Linked DNA regions of Drosophila melanogaster. The protein of the gene in region 3 interacts with the protein of the main gene of each other region in a pairwise test. Each region holds a gene or a part of one and is shown on either strand. Other genes may lie near its edges.

What was found.
Region 1: the proteins of Mp20 (region 3) and CG11756 interact in a two-hybrid assay, tested with the Drosophila melanogaster proteins (one large-scale study listed by BioGRID).
Region 2: the proteins of Mp20 (region 3) and Tep4 interact in a two-hybrid assay, tested with the Drosophila melanogaster proteins (one large-scale study listed by BioGRID).

The regions. Positions count from the first base shown.
Region 1 is NC_004354.4:11,345,060-11,350,286, forward strand, and holds CG11756 (uncharacterized protein), read left to right. Parts: upstream 1-3,060; 5' UTR 3,061-3,145; coding exon 3,146-3,757; 3' UTR 3,758-3,806; downstream 3,807-5,227. Other genes in the region: GCS1 (glucosidase 1), read right to left, coding at 208-1,103, 1,170-2,823; CG1738 (uncharacterized protein), read left to right, coding at 4,113-4,661; NdufV3 (NADH:ubiquinone oxidoreductase subunit V3), read left to right, coding at 5,037-5,227.
Region 2 is NT_033779.5:19,547,189-19,556,805, reverse strand, and holds Tep4 (Thioester-containing protein 4), read right to left. Parts: upstream 7,114-9,617; 5' UTR 6,961-7,113; coding exon 6,878-6,960; intron 5,125-6,877; coding exon 4,393-5,124; intron 4,334-4,392; coding exon 3,907-4,333; intron 3,851-3,906; coding exon 3,513-3,850; intron 3,445-3,512; coding exon 2,891-3,444; intron 2,837-2,890; coding exon 714-2,836; intron 645-713; coding exon 405-644; 3' UTR 355-404; downstream 1-354.
Region 3 is NT_033778.4:13,243,987-13,250,272, reverse strand, and holds Mp20 (muscle protein 20), read right to left. Parts: upstream 3,604-6,286; 5' UTR 3,531-3,603; coding exon 3,501-3,530; intron 3,357-3,500; coding exon 3,024-3,356; intron 2,957-3,023; coding exon 2,769-2,956; coding exon of another isoform or gene 2,765-2,768; exon of another isoform or gene 2,514-2,764; intron 1,462-2,513; coding exon 1,443-1,461; 3' UTR 1,393-1,442; downstream 1-1,392. Other genes in the region: CG4712 (uncharacterized protein), read left to right, coding at 1-264, 776-872, 942-1,330.

The DNA.
Region 1 (5,227 bases), on a different chromosome or scaffold from region 3:
CTAACAAACGAATCTCCATAGATGATGATAGTTTTGGCTACAATTTAAGTAAAATTTATTTGGTACTCCAAACGTTTGCAATTGAAGCACCCAGCTATTCCAAACACACACAAAAACGCATTGATCTTCGCCAGGAATGCGGGGACAGGGTCGTTCGTTGAGGAACTCACAGCAGTTTTGGCAGGCTGAAAACCGTGTAGGCGAGATCTAGAATTGCTCGGCCATCAGGAGGACAACGGTGGCCGTCCAGCCGGTGAACGGATTGCAGCCCTTGCCCTCGCCGCTGGTGTCATCGTACTGCTCCCACAAGTAGCCGCTGCGCTTGTACTGCCGCAGGATGTTGCCCACCAGATTGTCGCGCAGTTCGGCGTAAATTTGTCGCGCCAACGCCGCATTCGGTCCATCGATCTTGCCATAGTGATGCAGCGCCTTGGCCGCCAAATAGTTGATATTAATCCAGATGGGTCCACGCCAATACGGCGGATCGTGTTCCGTATTGCGTTGCATATACAATGGCGATCTCTTCGAAAGCGAACGCAGACCGTAGTTGGTCCACAACTGTTCCGGATCACGCAGATCGTTTAGCAACTTGGTCAGATACGGCGAATCGTGATCCAGTTGCTCGAGCAGCAACGGAAACAGGCTAACATAGCCAAAGGCGCTGTCCACGAACTGATAGGTCGGCAACTCGCCGGTCACACGTTGCATCTCGGGCAGCTGGTAGTGCTGGTGATGATGCCGCTGCTGCTGCTGCGGCGCCATGGACGGCGGACGCTTCAGCTTCACCTGGTCCGTGTGCAGGCCCCAGTCGGCGTACTGTTCGCTGTACGGCGCCAAATGGAGGCGATTCAGACGCACATTGTCCGTTAAGTACGATGCCGTCTCGTAGTACTTGGCATCGTCCTTGCCCAGCAGCGTGGACAGTTCGGCCATCACACCGGCGGCCAGGGCAATCCAGCAGCGCAGGTCCAGGTGACGCTCCTTGTCCGTGGGATGCGAGGCGCGCGGATAATCGTCCAGGCCGGAGGACAGACTCTTGGGGTTCAATTCGCGCGTGGTGGTCGCGTTCCTGCCGCGCCACAAATATGTGCCCAACACTTCACCTAGAATGGAGCAGTTAGTTAGTAGACGCCACATAGAAAGCGATGGCAGGTGGCTAAGTGACTTACCCCTCTGCGTGGTGTTGAACCAATTGAACCAGGCCTGGACACGCGGATAGAGCCGCTCCAGCGTGGCCAATCTGCCGTTTTGCGACAACTCCGCCCGGTGGCTGGTCAGCAGTTTCTTGAGCGTAAGAAAGAACGTCGGCGGATTGGCGTTGCTATTCCGTTGCGTGACAAACTCCTCGGGCACCTTGGCCAGCGCCTCAACGCCCAGGATTTGCTCCCTGGGTATCCAGCCCTCCACGTTGAGCAAATCGAACCAATGGCATATGATATCCAGCTCGATATCGATGTCCCACGCACTGATCAACAGGCCGTGGAAGCCCTCGTCCCAAAGGAAGCCCCTGGGAAAGAAGCTACGCGACGGCACGGCCGTGTACAGTGGAGCCTTCCAGTAGGGCACCGGATTCTTTGTGTACACCGATTGCACGCGACTGGAGCCATAGAAGTAACCAATGCCGCCAAGCAGATTGCTCAATGCGTTGCGCGCAAATCGCACCTCCTCCGGCGAGTGACCCTTCTGCTTCAGCTGGAAACGATCCTCGAAACGCTGCTCAAATTGTGCTATTTTCGCCTGAAGCGAATCCTGATAGGCTCGTCCCGTCGGCGGCTTGGGTATCGACTCGCCAAGCGAAAAGCCCGACGTCGACTGGTACGTAATGTCCAGCGTGAAGTCCACCTCCGCCGTTATCTGTATGGCTATGAAATTGGGCTCCGGATTGGAGGATGGCAGGCCATTCTGCGAGACTATCTCGCCGGGCAGGCCGATGAAGCGATTGCCACGCTTGTCGGCGAAGGCGCGGAAGTGCGAGAAGAGCGTATCCTTGAGCTTGGCCAGCGACGGTGCCACCGTGCTGAGATAGGATTTATGCAGTATCTTGCCCTTGACGGCATGGAAACGCACTTGGAACTCGCCCAGGCCCTGCGCCTCACCATAGACGCCCGGCTCCGGACTCTTGTCGTCCGACACGTACTTAATGTGTCCATTGGTGCGCTCATCCAATGCCACATACCAGATTAGCGAGATGCTCTTGTCCCACGCCCTTGTCGTATTCCTCACCGATATCCTGGCAGTCCAATCGCCGCCGTACTGCTTGCCCTCTGGATACTTAACGAACGAGGTCTTCAGCTCGAAGGGCAGATCCTGGATCTCTTGAACGCCAAAACTGCGGCCATCGTGATGCGTCCAGCCGTACGAGTCCAGTTTATCGCCCTGCTCGCACCAGTGTCGAATGCCCTGGCCACCGGGGCCCAGATTACTGGGCGTATACCACATCAGGCCCATGACCAGCGAGTGCGGATCCCTGGTCTTCATGCCGAAGTACGTCAACGGACGGTAGGAGCCCCAGTAGCGATCCGGTTGCTCCAGGCCGGCATGCACCACCATCTTCTGGTGATCGAAGGGCGTGTTAACGCGCGTCTCCAGGTAGCCCAGATAGCCGAAGTACGAGGCTATCGCCAGGCAAACGCAACCAATCATCGTTTTCCATTTGTCCAGGATCAAATTCGAGGATAAACTGAAACGCGGGCTGCGCTGCTTCTGTTTGGCATTGGATGCCGCTGCTGCTGCCGCTGCCGCCGCCGCTGCTGCTGCTGCGCTCGATCCGGATGAGGATGCAGCGGGCGTGGAGCCCGAGGAGCTGCCCGTGTTCCTAGCCATTTTGCGCTTGTCCCTTGGCTCTGATTTATCGGCTATTTGTTGTTGCTTCAATTTTCTTGCGAGCGCATTGTTTTCTTTTTTATTTCGATCCGCACTGCGTTGCCGGATCATCCCAACTATTTTCTATGCGGAATTACAAGGGTTTGTGTCCTAGCTATACTATGCTATATTTGAAAACCATAAAATTAATCATTTCCAAAATTTCTTCTCCAAATTTTGTAACAAATCATTTTTCCGTCACATTTCTCGATCGTCAGAAATAAAATCGGAGCTTATGCGTCGCTTGCAATTATTTTAAATTCTTAGTAAACTTTCTTGGAAAATGCTTAAATATTTGGCTGGAATTTTCGTCAGTCCGCGCAATGACTACGCGAATGGTCGCTACAGGATTCCGCATCCGAAGAAGCTGGCCGCCAGGCGAAAGTCGCCCCCGGTGAATATATCCACGAGGAGCGTCATCAATGGCGGCAGGTCGGCAAACGGGAGGCTCAAGACGGAAAATAGAAACGCACGGCGACGTCGAGAGGGCAATCCACATCTGACGCGACCACACAGCCGATCCTCCCAGAAAACCATAGGGATCCGCCTGGATCCCATTAGCTACATCGTAAATGTGCCCAATTCCACTTCATCGCCCGACGACGACGAGGAGGAGGTGCCTGTACCGCAATTGCCCAACGCAGTAAACAAACTGAAGGCTCGAACGTATCGGAAGGAGAATTCCGATTGCCTTATTCCACCGCCAGTTAGTCGCGTCGCGAGTTGGTCGGGTCCTTTGAATGCCAGTCCCTTCAACCAGCTGGATGAGCAGAATTCCATCTCTGACGATGCGGACGCAATGGGCTGGAAAGCGATTTGTTTGCCAGATGATTTTTGGTCGGAGGATTCGGACTCGGAAAGCAAAAGCAAAATGAGTAAAATCAATGTCTTTTAATATACAAAAAATTTATTTTAAATATTATAATAGTTGACCATTCAATAAGATCTTATTATGCTTTTAATAAGTACGAAATTTTACAAATTAATGTAAAGAAATTGTATACTTAATAAATAGCAATAGACTGCAAGCTGAGCAGTTTTTCTGAAACATATTTTGAAATAAAAAGATTTTGTGACGTAATAAGGACATTAAAAAGCGCCACCTTACAAGCAACATTCATGAAAAACGGCGCTGCCAGATGGACCGAGGCGTTACGTGGGAATTAGTACATTTTGGCACTGTACATGTGCATTCAATATTTTGATTTCACTATTATTGCTGCAAATAAACACAGAAAACTGAAAGCATAATGAACGTCAGCGCCGATTTTAAGCCGGTGCCCACGCGTGCAGCGTTGGCGCTGCAAAAGAAGCAGGAGAACACCGAATTTCAGGCACACGTCTTCCACGAATCGCACTTCCAATCGAAAAGTGGAACAAAAAAGCAGGACGACGGCGTCCAAAAATCGCACAAAACCAAGGAGGGCGGCATGGAACTGAATCCCGAATTCGATATCAAGAAGGCGCGCCACGAGGTGCTCAATTTTGCGATCAAAAACCAGCGTGTGATCAAAAACAAGAGCAAAATGGAAATGTTTCAGCTGATCAAGCTGGGCGCCAAGCCGCTGAAGAAGGCCTCCAAAAACTACAAGGAGCTGAAGGACGAACGCCAGCGGCTGAAGAATATTCGCGAGGAGCGCAAGAAGTTCCATCAGTTGGGCAAAAATCAAACGGGCGCCGCCAGCGTCAAATGCCGAACAAAATCGCAAAAGGAGCGCAACGACAAGAGGCGCGCGCCCGTTTCACACATCGATCAGCACTACGGCAAGGCGCAGCCCAAGTTTAAGACGAGAAAATAGTTGTTTATATAGCTCTTAGTTAAATACTAAAACTAGCTTAGTCAAAGGATGGCACTGTTTAAAAATCAATTTATCTATTCTAGCCCTAACGTCAGGCTTAAATTATATAATATATAACTATACCAGCACTGCCAGCATCTTTAACTGTGTAAATAATAATTTAAACATTTAAACCAATTTAAAATATGACCACTTTTATTTTATGCATATTTTTGCGGCCAGGTGGCAGCTTCGCGCTCGTACGTTGCCTTGCCATATTCCTCGCCAATAAGCGCACTTTCCGCGTTACCCAACACGTCCACTTTGTTGATACGTGATTACGTGAATTATTTTTGCGAATTAAACGCTGCAAGCTAGCCAGCCATTAAGTCCAACATGTTCTCGCCCTCACGTGCCCTGCGCCCAGCCCTCAGCCGCTGCTACAGCCAGATCAAGGGCGGACCCGTTTCCGGCGGCGGTAGACCCAGCGCCTCAGGATCTCCAGCTGGAGCCGGATCCTCGCCATCGGGCGGCGCATCCTCGCCATCGGTTGTGGGACTGACCAGCAATTGCGTGAAGCCCAGCAG
Region 2 (9,617 bases), on a different chromosome or scaffold from region 3:
TTCTCTTAATCAATGTTTGATCACCTAATGGCTTTTTATTCGTCAACTAGCTTGATGCTCAGAAGCATTCCCATTTTCTCGAGCTCCATAAATAAGTGCAATCCAAATTGATTCTTTGTATCCCAGAACTCAGAATCTGAAAGTCCCTTCCTTTACTTGTTAGTTGAAGAACTCCCTAACTGAAAACTAATTACGATAAAACAATCAATTGGTTTATGGTCCTTATAAACTGTTTCTACATTAAGATTTGGACATTAGCACACTGACTGATGCGTTTCGTCACTACGCTATAACTCTTATGTAACCCAAAGCAGTAAAAGAGACATTTTGTATATACATTATAATCACAATTTTATTTTAAGTAAGGATAGAAAGTATTAATGATTCCTTTTGGTTTGGATACTCTAGCACTTGCTCTTGCAGTCGTCACCCTCGCAAATGTCGCAGAGCTTCGACTTGATGGAGTAGTATTCGGTGGCCTTCTTGTTCGTGTCATAGTAATCGTAGAGGACCACCGATGATGGCTTCTGGTTGGCCACCGCATGTGTTCTGTACGCCTCTATGCGAATGCATTTTTCTTCGTTCTTGGCCAGATTCTCGAAGTATATGACCACCACGGAGTCACCGTTCTTGGTTTCCACCAACTGCAAAGCGAATAATTTATAGGTAATTGAAGAGAAAAGTGTACAGGTATTAAGGATTCTGAAACTTACCCGCACACGTTCGATGTTCCGGATGTCGGCGAAGCTATCCTCATCAGCAGTATAACCAGACGGCAGGGATACCTCCAGAATGGCCATGTTGGATTCCTTGGACTCGCCCTCCTCCACGTAGTCCACGCAGACGCTTAGTTCCAAATTGGCTGGCGACGATTCCGGCAAAACGGTGGTCTGAATCTTAAAGCTCGGCTTCGGCTCCTTCTCCACCAAGTTGTATTGGTAGCTTATCTGGACCATAGCAGCTCCAGTTCCCTTGGCTTCAAACTCCAGCGACTTGGTGCCCTGTGGGAACTCGACTGTCTGGAGGAGCAGGTCATTTTCCTCCGATGTGTTGAGCTTCTCGGTCTTTTCACGCTTTCCCTTGTTGGAAACGGTCACCTCCCACTTGGCCGCCTCGTAGCCCGACTTCTCAGCGAACTTAATGAGGGCGGTGAGGCCGACAACCGTGTCCTGGCTGGAGGCAAATCCTCCGAAGCCATTACGCTGGGCGATCAACCAGCGAACGGTGTTCAGAACAGAGTCGGCTGTCTCCTGGTCTGAATCCAGAAGGGAAAGCAGCGCATATGATGTGATCTCCACATCCTGACTCCAGATCCAACACCACCAGCGTCCGCAGTTCTTGGAGGCACGCAGCTTATCCAGATCCTCGGTCCACCAGGTGCGATCGTCCTCGTGTTTGGCCAGGGACTTAAGACTGGCCACCTGCTTGGCAGCTTCCGGCGCCTTGGCCTTTTGCAGGGCATAAATGGCAATGGATTTGGGCAGGAGCTCAATGGACTCGGCAGTATTGGCGCTCAGATAGGCAACCGCCTTGTCAATGGCAGCCTGGTTCGGTTTCTCCTCCTCCAGCAGGGCGAGCAAGGAATTTGCGGTCAATGTCAATAGAGATCGCTGGGAGCTATAGAAATACTCTCCGTGTTCCGTGAAGCTACCATTTTCTGCCTGTCGAGTTAACAGGAATTCGTAGCCCTTGGCCAGGATCTGCTCATCCAAGTCAATTATATCCTTGATCTTGCTAAACGAGCGCAGCACATAGGCCGTCAGCCAGGTGGAACCATTGCGCACTGGATCCTCCTGCCTCCATTTGGTGGGCCCAAAGGAACTGAAGCTGCCGTCGTCGTGGCGATAGTGCAACATATGTTGGTATCCGTCCTGCAGATTCCTCTTGATGCGAGTGTCCAATGCAGGTGTGAGTTTCTTGATGCTCTTCAGATAATCCCTCACCAGATAGTTGGGCACCAATTTGGACATGGTCTGCTCACCGCAACCGCTGGGCAATCGCAACAGGTTCTCAAGGTTCTTGACCACTGGTCCCAAGAGATCACCCACCAATCCGAATTCCACACGCTCGGAGTCGGGGACCACATCCTCCGGCACTTCCAGCTCGAAGGTGTTCTTAAACTCACCCGTATCCTTAAGATTGATAAAGAATGCCCTGTTCTGGTACTGGGTAATTCCTTCGGGCACTACCTTTAGCGGCTTGTGTATAGCATCTCCGGCCAGCGGTGAGATGGCCTTGAATTTCAGCAAAATATTTCCAATGACCTTGGGTCGGATCAAAAATGAGGCTCCTGCCGCTTCGTTGGCGCCCACTCTGATGTTCTGCGTACGCTTCTGGTCACCAATAACCTCATTCGAGGCATCCACGAAGTCATACTCTTGATCCTCGTTGTCCAGGGTCAGTTCCACGTCCAGTGTCTTGGGCAGGTAGTTAAAGACCAGTGCCGGTACATTGATCACCTCACCTCGCTTCACGGAGTATGGCAATCGAACGGAGACAAAGAACGGCTGGAATGTCTTGATATTTGTCTGATCATTGGTGACACCTAATCCCTTCTGGGGATGCAGTGAAAAGCCGGTGACCACCCAGTTGGTGATCGTATCGGGTATGGTCTTTACCCACTTGAACACCTCCTCCTCGGTGCTCTCGATATCGGCAAAGATCCAGGTCTCTGCGAAATTCTTTCGCACTACTGGTGCTGCAGATGCAGACGCACTTTCGGCGGAGAATCCCACGGCCTGAGTTGGTCCGCCAGCACCGGAATGGAATACATGACTATCATGTGCCACTGTAGTCTTTCTCATGGCGAAAGAGCTTCCACCAAATCCTTCTGTAACTTCCAATAATTGCAAATTAATGTGGTTTATTATTATGACAAATTTATACGTACGAATATTGTAGTCTGGGGCGGTGCGATTATAGAAGAAATAGGCATTGGTCATAGTCACGACTCCAGTTCGCTCTCCGGGGTAGTAGGAGTATCCACCCTGCCAGGGAGTTGAGGTGTCATAGCCATTTAGGCGCCAGTTGAAGGATTCCTTGTTCAAATCGTTGTTGCTGCCCAGCAGAAGGACACTCTGATCGACGGCCAACAATCCAACGAATGACTTTGGCGACGTCTTGATCTCCAGTGCAACGTCGGCACCCGGTTTAACTTCCGCGGGAGCCTTGATTTCGATCTGGTTCTGCAGCTCGACCTCCACACTGAATGTTTCCTCGGTATATCGGAACTCTCCTGTCTCATCCACGTAGTAGAAGTACACCCGACCATAGGGAGTAGTGAGGAAAGTGGGCTTAATGGTTACGTTGACGGTCGTTTGGGGTTCCGCGAGGTCCACACGTTTCGTTTCCAATATGTTTCCACGTCCCACAATGTTGTACACAAAGTATTTGAGCGGACGACTGGAGTTGAGGATTACTTGATACTCCTGCCCGATCTTGAGGCTGCAATAGAAGTATTGTATATGGTTATTTAAAATCGTGGAACCCTTGCTCAACTCAACTGTACTCACTTCCAGACGTCCTTGGGCCTCTGAACTTCTGCCCTGAACCACTCCTTTTCCTCTTCAGAGCTAGGATTTTCAATCTGTTTTGGTTCCCTGTAGGGATAAGTGGTGTACAGATCTCGTTTTTCATCGACGAACTCCAGCTCAATGCTATAGTAACGAGTAAAGTTGGCGATATCCGGCAAATCGGGAAGAACCACCTTGAAAGGCGCCACACCAGACGCATTCAAATGGCTTTCAAACACAAACGTTTTCTTCTCAATCGTTGGCAATTCCGGTTCTTGATGATCTGTTCCAAAGGCATAGAAAGCATAATTGCGTCGAATTCCTTCAGTGAACTTGGCCTAGAGTTAAAACGAATTTATAAGTAGTGACAGATCTCTTAAGATTTCTAACCCACCTTCACAACAGACTTGGTGTCTGTAATTAGTGAGCCGTCGACATATGTAATCTTGAAGTTAAGTTCATGTTCCTTGTCGGGCTTGAAGGAGAAGCAACTGGAGTAGTCAGTGCAGGACATCTCATACCGATAGGGGTACAGCTGCACACCGCCTGTTTCATTGAGCTTCACGCCGGTGAAGTCTTCCTCCACGGTAGCCGTAATCTGGGCATATGAAGAAGAGGTCTTGTGCGGCAGATAACTGGCGAAGTCCTTGAGATCCATGGTCAACTTGGCCTTGCCTCCGACCATGTCGGCGGTGCCAACAACAGAATGTCCGGGGTAGTCCGTTTGCACTGTCTTGCCGTCCACATTCTCCCAACTGCTCGTCGAGTCCAGATGGACATTGACAAGAACTTTACCATTCACGGGCTTACCATAGGTGTAGCTGGGGGATAATGCTGATATAAGAATGTCCTAAAGCATAAAACTTCCGGTAATACTTACTTGGCCTTCAGGACGACATTGAACTCGCCATCTCGCACTGAAACCTGCTGCGTGGCATCCATTTTGACGGAGTACTTGGGCAGCACGTACTTCTCCACCTCAAAGTTGACGAGCTCATCCGAGCGATGCCAGCGATGACCAAATCCTCCAAATTGTTTACGACCCCCAAAGTAAATACCTCCGTCGTGGTGCTGATCTCCATTCTGAACATGAAGGGACCAGGAGCCCAATGTGGCGAACTCGGAGAGCTCGAATTTGCCAGTGTAGACGCCACCGGTGGTCTTTATGTGTTTCTCCTGCTTGATGCGGTTCCTTTTGGAGTCCTCAAACCAAACCACCACTTCATCCTTAGCGGTATCCGGCCGCAGGTTCTCGTCCAGGAAGATCACACGATAGTTGATAGTATCACCGGGCTTGTACTTTCCCTTATCGGTCTGGATTTTAATGTATGGCTTGAAATTCTCCCAGTTCAGCTTGGTGGAGTTCTTGAACTCCAGTCCCTTGACGCCCTCCGCCGTCAGATTATATTCACCCGCCTCCAATGGGGGCAGTTTGAAGGTGATCTGCTTGAACTCACCGGCAGTGGCTAGTTCCACGGTCTCAGTTTTGTTGTAGGAGGGTCCAGTGATGCCCACTTTCAGGGTGACTGGCTCCTTGGTCTGATGGACAGCCACGGCCACATTGTAGTCACGGTGGGAGTGGATGGTTCCGGGACCCACAATGGTGTACTTGCTGGAAGCAAAGAAAACATCAACATTATTGTCATGAAAAACAAAATAAAATCAAATAACAATTCGGCCATAAAAAATTCCAAGAAGAGAAAAAAACATACACATATCCACTTGGAAATATTTGTAGTATTGTATTTGTATAATATATAGTATTGTATTTCTTGATAGTAACTATAGCTATCAATATTCAAATTATCAATATCAAATTCTTGACCATGCTCTAAGAATTCAAAAATAAATGTATATTGTCTAATCTCTAGGGAAACACAGAAATGAAACTTAAAACCATTAACCTCGACTTGATAATGTTCCCAATCTTTAAAAGGCAGTCTAAGATTCGGTTTAGGTTTTTGAGTTATGGTTTTTTTGATCTGTGACAGCAAATGATGAAATATATATGTATATATATATATAACGGATAATATTCCCAGAACCTGATCTTCTACTGAAAAGTATGAAACCGGCTTAGAGATTACATAATTCCAGCTTTTGCGATTAGCAATCTTTCTCGCACTTACAGTCCCCGATCACGTACACCAATATTGTTAGCCTGAACATCATTAACTTTTTTGGATTAGATTTGTTCCAGCCTTTTATGTTAGACTTCAAGTTTATGACATTTTTAAGTGTGTTCCATAACCCACCTTCATATTCGTTTCTAATTACTAATAATTGGCGGGACAGGAAAAAGTACAGATTTAAGATCGTGTGAAAGATTGATCAGCGAAACCATTGAGGCAAACAAAGTATGTGACGTGATCCTCTTGTTTGAGTAAAAAATATAAAAATCCATATTCAAAATGGCTTACAGTGAAACTCAATTAGCATCATAAGTTGAGCTCAACAAAAATGAAGAAAATAAAACACCCCTCAACAAGGTGAGATTAAAGTGGCGATGGCACCTTCAACTCAAAAATTAAATACCAGATATTAGTTCGGAGTAACTAAACCTCTTTAAAAAAGAAATTCTGAATATTTTTGAAGTGAGTGAATAGTTGTGATCGGACTATCGTACCAGATTTTCAATTTTATTGAATTTCCCCAAATTCACCCTTTTAGGTGCTCATCGTCACTACGTGGACAGAAGTCTAGTGTTTAATCTTATAGGTGTGATAAGGAACGATGTTTAACATTTGCTATATACATAATTATATATCTAAAAGTTAAATTACTATTTGAAAAATGTAGAGCAAAATGTTATTAGGTTAGTGATTTGTAAAAACCGTAAAAAAACTCTCCTATAAATCCAAGGACAAACCAGATGGTATAAACAATTAAGCTAATAGGTGATTTTGCGTATAAATAACAGCTTAATTACCTTGATGTTCATTAAAAACGGCCCTATCTGTATACATATATGCATACCTAATTAATTGAAATATTCGACGACAGCCATACAGTGACTGTGAATATAATAGTGGTAATAAGTAATAAACATAGATAATATAGTTTGGATTGCAGTAATCTGTGTTTAAGTGTTCGAGTGAGACGGGAATCCAACCACTAGCGTATTAGGGAAATGGTTAAAATTTTTAGCCATCAGTTTTTATTCAAATTATCAACCGAATAACCGAAGTAAGAACAATACGTTTTATAGGCCAGCTTTGTAAAGAACTATAGTTTTAGATATCTGGCTTTGATTATCGCCTATATTTTTGCGAATTCCTAACCCGACTCTACTAATACTCTAACCGTAGATGTGTTTTAAAATCGATCCGATCATATAGTATAGTATTTGTGGTATATGGACTTACCCCTCGGCTTTTACCGGTTCCATCGTCTGCAGCAAGGCCAAAATCACACAAAGCGAGACAGCAAAAGCGTCTGCGCGACGCATTTTGATTGGATTGGTGGTCAAATGAGGGCAAAAAGGATGGGAAATAAGAGCACAGATATTATAAGGCTATAATGCGCGGGATCGATGCTGGCGGAAGTTTGGTTAGCGACTGAGCGACTGCGACCGACTGGGATCAGAGCCGAGCTGGGACTGGTTCGGTTCGATGGCCCACGGATTTGTTATAATACCGAGCGACTCTAAAACCCCAGGCCCGGCAGACGAAGCCGAGCTCCAGTGGGGCGAGCAAGTCGTAAAAAAAAAAACTGATAAAAATTATAAGTAAATAAAACTGGCAGAGTGTGTGTTGTTGTGGTGTGTGTGTGTGTGTGTGTGTGTGTGGCGGTGTATGTGGTGCGCCCACTGAAATCGATGACGCGAGTTGGGCAAACAAAACCTTAACAATAATAACATGGCCACAAAAAACGCCGGCACTCCAATATCAATATTCATTCGTGAGTATTCACTTGGGCTAGTTGCCGCTGAAATATCATTCGTAATTTGATTTAAGAAGGAATTTATGGGAATTTACTGGTCAAAGGGATCAAAGATGATTATTTCTAATTATCATATTTACAAATATTACATTTGTGAGTATTCACTTGGACCAATTTCAGCTTAAAAATCATTCGTAATTTGATTTTAGAAGGAAGTTAGGGGAACATACTGTTCAAAAGAATACAATACAGGATGGATTTATGGGAATTTACTGTTCAAAAACACCAAAGATGAATGTTTCTATTTTCATCATATTTTCAAATATTGATTCGAGTATTCACTCGGGCCAGTTTCAATCATAATTGGACTAATAAATGGGAAATAGGGATTTACTGCTAAAAAATTGCAAAAAATTAATGTTTCGAATTTCACCATTTTTAGAAATGAATATATTATATGAATATTACGAATAAAGGGCGAACAAATAGGCGTGACTGTATAGAAGAACAGAAAGTTGGTATTACTGATTGCCCATGAGTGATATTTCAGTTATTTGTCACAGAACTATCGTCATGCAATAGTCAAATTATAACAACTTATTCATATTTCGTGTGGGGTTTTTCGATAATTAACACTTTAATTGTCACCAATAACTGTCGCTTCGTGTTTCGCAATGATTTGAAATATAGATTTTCCTTTTAAATAATTTACGTACATTATCTGGTTTTTGGAAAAGCCCAAATGATTTTTTGCGAAGATCTCGCGTAAAATCCCAATATATGAATTGAATACAAATATTTATGTTTTTGTCGTGTGGCAAATGACGTGCGTGCAATATTATTTGGACTTGTTGATTTGCAGTGTTAACGGAACTGCCTCCTAAATCGAAATACGGAGACCAACTGACTAGGCGTTGTGTACATATATATCGAAAACTCTTTCCTGCTCTCTCTGAGTCAGCTGTTGTTGTTTTGTTAGATGTCGCTCTCTTGATTTGCCGAATGATGACGTCACTTGGCTGTATTTCACACTGCCTTGCAAATGAAACGGGTATATAATGTAGCGATGAGTAATGCCAATATATAAGAGATATTCGCTCAACTGCGTTTCTCTTGGTGATTCCCCGTTTGTTCTTTCTCTCGTGCGGTTCGGTTCCGTGTAATCTATAAGTAGTGATATTGGGTGATATGAATACGCTGCAATCTAGGAAAGGAATTAGCTTTAAAACGCTGTAATTTCATGATTAATTAAATTGTGGTGATGTATGGTGAATTAATTTGCTTGTAACAAGTAATCTTCCTTGGCTTTCACCCAGAAAGTATACTGCCTGCAAAATACGCTCATAATAACTAACTGAATATACAAATATTTTTATGAAAAAACTATTTTTTAAAGCTATTGTAAAGCTAATACATCATATGTATATGCAGGCAGGAATAATTGAATCTTGAACCTTTTTTTGTGAACTGTATACGTAATAATATTGAAAGTTCGCAAAGCTGAACAAAATGTTTTATTATTCCAAATTCCTAGTCGGTATATTTTAAGTTTGGAGAGCCGAAAAACTGGCATCTACATACATAAATATGAGATAGTAAGGCATACATGGACATGTGTCGCGATTATGTCTATCTCTTCGGTTAATCACTAAAGTAAATGAAAATAGAAATGAATCCACAGAACTATCTATGGTACATATGTAGAGCTACTCAAACTCTGCTAATCCTCTCCTTCAAATCTCATAACGCTACCTCAAAAAAATGACCAATTTAATAGATATTATTTTTGTAGTCGGATAAGTATGAAAATTTATTTAACCGTATATTTTGTATTAGTACAAATGCGCTGTAGGAAAGTGTTATTGTGGGATATTCCCAATCATATTGTTCGCTTCTTATCTTTCTATTTGTTTCTCCTTTTGCTGTTTATTCGTCTCGCATTTGCTTTTGCTAGCAATTTCACAACATCGATCATCGAAATCAACTATTTAGGGTGGACCTAAAAAGCACAATTTAACGTAGTTCAGTCTACGTAAATATATATTCTAAACGCAGAACTTGAAATAGAGAGATTATTCAACATTCGGTTAGATTTGTTATTACTTAATTTGATCTTTAATTAGGAAATGGCAACACCCTTGACTCTGTTTTTGGGAATCACTCATGGTGTATTCACCATGATTAACGCCGGTCAATTATCCAATCCGGTTTTAGATTGCTCCA
Region 3 (6,286 bases):
CTCATCAGGGTAAGGGAGAAATATGGCATTCTAATGACCACTGCGTTTTTGGACCTCGCCAACGCCATGAACATCGTTCTCAGCACGGAGCATCATCTCGAGCAGACGTTAAAACGCATCCTGGTTCGTCCGGACGCCGAGACCGATTTCCTCAAGCGCCTGGTTGCCCGCGAACTCCGACTTATGGCCGACCATCGGAATCAAATTAGCGATGCCCGGCTGTTGCTCATGTCGCAGAAACACACCTTGGCCCGCATCTTAGAAGTAGGTATCCAGGATGTTGTCCAAAAAGTTGTCCACGATGTTGAACGCGTTGTTGAGAGATTTTCCGCCATGTTGTCCGCCATGTTATCCTCCGTATTTTTTGTAATGTCATTCGCCATTTTATATGCTATGTTACATGCTATATTATCCGCCATGTTGTCCGCCATTTTATCAGCCGTGTTGTCCTTCATGTTATTCGCCATGTTATCCGTCATATTACATTATATGTTAATCGCCGTGTTGTCTGCCAACTCATGTTACATGCTATGTTATCCGACATGTTATATGCTATGTTAGCAACCATGTTATCCGCCGGTTATGCTCATTCAAATTGTCACATAATGCTATTAAGTTATTCACAATATTTTACAACACATTGCTTCCCACTATCCAGCCATGTAGTTTTTCATTATATTTACTATCACCAATATTGTTTTCCAATTTTTCATATGTTTTCTAATTTGATTGTTTTACTTGTATCAACATACTTTTCTGAAACATCTCCATTTAGAAAATAAGAGATGTAGAAACGGTTTGCGACGGTGTGAGCTTGAATGACTTTATTTCCGTGCAAAACAAAACGATCGGCCTAGAAAAGAAGATTGAAGGTATAGTCCTATGAACATCTCTGCTTAAAATTTGTTCATTATTATATGCATAATAATCATCTCCATCAGAGCGAAATATTGAATTAAAAAGACAGCGCAGGCTCTACCACACCGAACTGCATATGACTAAGCACAATCGAGAGAAGTCCCACGAGCTTAAGAACAAAATTCACGTTCTTAAAGATAACCTGCTGGAAAAGCACAAGTTGAAAAATAAACTAAAATCCGAGCTGTGTCGCCGAAAACTGGAGCACAAGGCTATTAGGCGCCGGATGAGAGATTTGACATGCCAGGGTGGTATCCTGGCTATGCCCGCATTGATGTATGACTACGATCGAACTGTCGCCTATGTTCGTGAAAAGGAGAAAATGGTCTCGAGTCTCCGGGAAACCCTAAAATCACTTACCAATCAGCTGCAAAGTTTGATGTCACCTCGAAAAAAGAGCTCGATTATTTAATAGGGCTATTACCACTTTTCAACCAAATACATTTTTCCACAAAAATAATATAATATTTGTCGTTTATTAATGCTATAAACAATGGAAAATTCAAGACTTCCTAGTCGTAAGCTTATGCATCAATAATAACCCTGAAACGGTAGAGAAAATCTCTTAATGAACCATTATTAATATATATGTATATATATATATATATCCCCCACATTTTCAGTGTCAAGTTTGTTATTTATTTGCCTGCTTTTATTTATTCCATCCATATATATATGTTGAAGAAAACAACAAAACCAAGGGGAAATACCGTTTGGTTGTTCTCATTAATATTTCTAGCAACCAATTGTTGGAAATTTTCAAAATTCTAAATATACCGATTCGGAAATTGGCACGCTTTATTCTTAATCATCCTTTCTGAGCACTATTTGAGTCTAAAATATTGTACACACGACCTGAGTACACTTCAATTAGCCAAAACGAATGAGGAAAATATTTCATTTGCAGACTGCGTCATTTAAAACTAATAACAAATCCATGCTGAATATATTCTGCGTTCTAAGACATATTTTTTCAATAGATCTAACATACAATTAATACAAAATATTTCCAGATTCTTCCATTCCTGCTCTTTGCTTTCAGCATAATAAGCCAACAGAGATCAATTCCACCCACTGACAAACTATAATAAATCGAGAAATTAGAAAAGTGCCAGCTGAAGGCGTGAAATATTCGCGAGAGATGTCTGGTTTTTTTCATTTTTGGCACCAGCATAGTTGCACCTGCAATACATAATGTTGTGTGTGTTCTTTCGTGGGAACAATTTCACGCCTCGGACAGGTGAGTTTGGGGGAAATTCCTTTCGCTACATATAAAATATATGTAAAAGTCAGTGTCGAGATGCCCATCTTGATAATAACTCTGCCCAACGCTGATGTTCTGACCTCGACACGCTTCGATGGAATGTTTCACACATCGCACACACTCAACAGAGTGTGTTTATGTTTGCTTTATAACGTTGATACGATGATGCATATATAGTATATATATATATTCAGCTATATGGCTATAGGTATGAAATTCATTTTTAGAACGCACCATAGGCAGATAAATAAAGTCTGTACACCCACACAAACAACAGCAGCAAGAACGTAGAGAGCTCAAGGTTATAGAGGTGATCGGAAAGTGGAAAACTGGGTTCTTTGAATTACTTTATTGTACTCATAAATAGATTAACTTAGGCGTATACTTAATATAAGGCGACAAGCCTTTGCGTTGCTTTTATGTGTTGTTTTGTGTGAGTGTGTGTTCATTGGTGTTGAGTTTTGCTTTGGTGAGGAATATCATTGTGTTCTTCATGTTTTTCATCATACAAAATATATATGGGTGTGTTCACTTAGCATAAGTGTAGAAAAGGGTGTGGACATCCTGGCCATCCTTTGGCGCTTACTTGCCGAGCAGGATCTTGCGGCCAGCGCCGAGGTTCTGGCCAGCCTGGGTGGCTCCCTTGTTGGAACCGGCCTGCAGACCCACAATGGTCTGGCCAGCCTTCAGCTGCTCTTCGGTGAAATCGCGCTTGCACTCATCGGCGGGCTTGGGGCCCAGGAAGGGACCCTTGAAGTCGGCATGCTTGTAGGTCTGCAATGAGCCGCAATTCAAGGATTAGCCTGGCTGACAATGGGATAGAAGGCGATTTGAAACTTACGGCACGGCCCAAAGCGAAGATGGTGTTGGTAACGTTGGCAATATCCTTCTTCTCGTACAGATCGACGGTCTGGAAGACATCGATGTCGGGCACACCGTACTCCTTCAGGGCCTTCTGGAAGTTGTTGATGTTCTCCATGAACTTGAACTGGCCGCCCGAGGAGTTGACCTTGGGCACGGCATTGGGCGACAGCACGTTGATCAGTTTGCACAGCACCTGACCGTCCTTGAGCACATCCTCGTAGGACTGGCCGGCGGGGAACTTCTCGGCAATGATGGCCTCGATCCACTCCTGGGCCTCCTTGTCCATCTCGGGATTGCGCTTGCTGGCAATCTAGGTGGATCGGATAAGAAAAAATTCATATTTTAGGCACAATATTTCACAAAACTGTTTGGTAATTTCACATTTCTTTCATCTATTTTCCTTTATATCTATGTTTTCTTAAGGATCTTTTTTCTTCACTGATTGAGTATTCACCTTGGCACGAACGGCACGCTCAAGAGACATGTTTGATTCTTGGTTTTTGGTTTCGGGTCCTGCGGGATCTTCACTAAAGCTCTGACAAGCTAACACTGATGCCAGCCAACGGGGCGTATGCGGCTTTTAAAGCGCGAGAGAGCGTTCTCCGACGAATTCGTTCAAGAATTTTCCAAAAATATATCCGAATTCGGAGTCGAGTGTGTGAAAATTTTGCAGCGTGGGCGTTCTATATATTCGAAACGCCGACTTTGCCCGTCTCCCGCGTATGAATCGTGCGTTATAATTTTAGATCATCATCGGTTGAGAAAAAGGAAAAATCCAAATGCTTCATTATTTTCACACATTTCCAATCGATGGTATGTGTGTGTGTGTGTGTGTGCGAGTGTGTGTAGATTGTGCTCTTCAAAGTACTGCTCATTTGCATGTTAGCCGCATTTTTTCGGACTTGCTGTCCTGCTGTCATTTTGAACTCATTTCGGGCGCGTGCATTCGTTGCCCGTAATTTCCATCGGCATGCATTGGGTCATAATTAAAAATGGCAGCAAATTGGTTCCCATCGAGCGACACATCCTCCAGAATTTACAGCGAAATTTATGATGACATGGACATCCTCACAATTATTCACAGTTATCAGATCAGATCAGCGACATGGCAATTTCTTGTTAAAAGGACTTTCTGCATAAAAAGTTTACAAAAATGACATGTACTTATTAATTTTTACTGAAAATGTTTTTCAAATTGGATTTAATTGGTATTTCAAATATATTTGATAATCAAATCTTCCAAAGACACGTCCTTCAGAATTTACAGAGATTTACAAAATGTGAGGAGCATCCTTTGCAATATTCACAATTTAGAACATGCCAATTAGTTTATTAAGAGAATATTCGAAATAATTTCATCATACTACTATCATACTAATGTTTTAAATTTTTATAAATATTATTGAAATATTCATACAATGTATTTATAATCTGATAATGGATATAAATAATGTCTCCAGGAAAAGACGGAGCAATTTGCAAGCTTTAAAAAGTAAAAAGGACAGCGATTACTTTATGAGCGGGAAATTAACTTGAATTATGTGCCTTGTGTTATTGAAAAGCACTTTGTTCGAGGACAGCCATCAGCAAAACATGCCTTCAAAATTAACGAGAGGGCAATAAAGTGAAGAGGCGACCAGTCAAGGCGACTGGGAACTGTCAAAGTTCGTGCCCCCCCACAAAAATTAATATTTTATTAGAGTATTTCGGGGGGGAAAGCCAAACAAACAAATCGCACAGCGACATCTATTTCGGGATGGGGGAAAATCTTTTGCTAGAGCAGATACAATTTCGATAACAGTCGGAAAATCTACGAGATACACGTAAAAGGCGCGACGAATTTGTGCTATGGGTAGCGCGACTATTTCTAAATTCTCGACGCCGAACAGGTGGAGCCGAGCCGAAATAGTTGAGATTTTCCAGGCTTTTCTTGTTTTTCCCACGGCGGAGAAAAACAGATGGCGTGTTCGTTTATTTTTACCGCCTCCTTGGCCCGCGGCACTTCGACGGAGCGTTTTCTTTCTTACATTTTTATTTTAATTAACAAATACGCGGCGAATTGAAGTAAACCGCATTGGTTGCCATTTAAGTGAATTAAATGCGCCGCAGGCTGGGTTTTGACTATTGTCTTCGCAAAAATTTAATTAATGCCCCGCAGCCGGGCGGCCATTTTTCACGGCAATTAAATTATTGTAATTGCATTTGCTGAGGGGTGTGGCTCGTCAAGTGAAAGAATCAAATTCAATTACGCGATGGCACACACCCGATGGTTTTGGAAAGTACTATTACTATCGTCTCCCTTGGATTGCAATTCAAACAAATGGCTGATTAAATGATTATCCGAACCCTGGGGGTCCCTCATGCATCCTCATCAGACGACATCCTCATCAACGTTTGTGCCAAAATTGCACAGAGCAGAGCATTGTGTATGTGTTTGGCCAGGAAAATTAGATTCGAGTGTGCAAACATCCTGGCGGAGGAGAACCATTTTGCAGGCGCTAAGTTAGCCGGGATTATTTTCCCATAAATCAGCATAAAAAAATCCACAACCAGGCCGACGGCCTATGCTCCGCAAAATGGCCAGCACACAATGGTCACAAAATGGCAACGCATATCCGAAATGAAGTCAAGCGAAAATTAGGTCGTTGGGGAGTAAAGGCACCAAAGGGATCCAATGGATCCAATGGCTCCAAAGGATCCGGCTAGCCCTTGGGCCATCCAGCAACCACTTGCTGGCATTTGTGCCGCTTCCGCTGGCTTACAGTGAAGCTGGGCGGAAACGGAAATTGAGTCAAGCGTTTCAGTTTGCAGACTGCAATTTCATTTATAAACAAACACAAAACGAAGAACATTGATTCGAATACAGATACTGGCAACTCGTGCCCCATTGCCAGTGAGTTGGCCGTCTATAAATAGACGCATTATTTATTTAAGCTCAGCATTTAATTGGAAAATCATGCCCAATGTCGTCATTTTGTTAACGAAAATAAACACTCGATTCGCCGCGGTCATGGCATCCACTAGTTATTTATAAGTTTCTCATAATTTCTGTAGACATTTTTCGGCTCCTTGCGACAAAAGCAATTAAATAAATCTCAACATTTTCACTTTGTCGCTCAAAGAACATTCGTAGCACAATGTTGGAGGAATTATTTGTTTTGTATTTAAAATTTTTCCCCTTTTGCCAATTATCGGCTTCTCTAAATCTAAATCTTATAATATAAGCCAAACAATAACTGA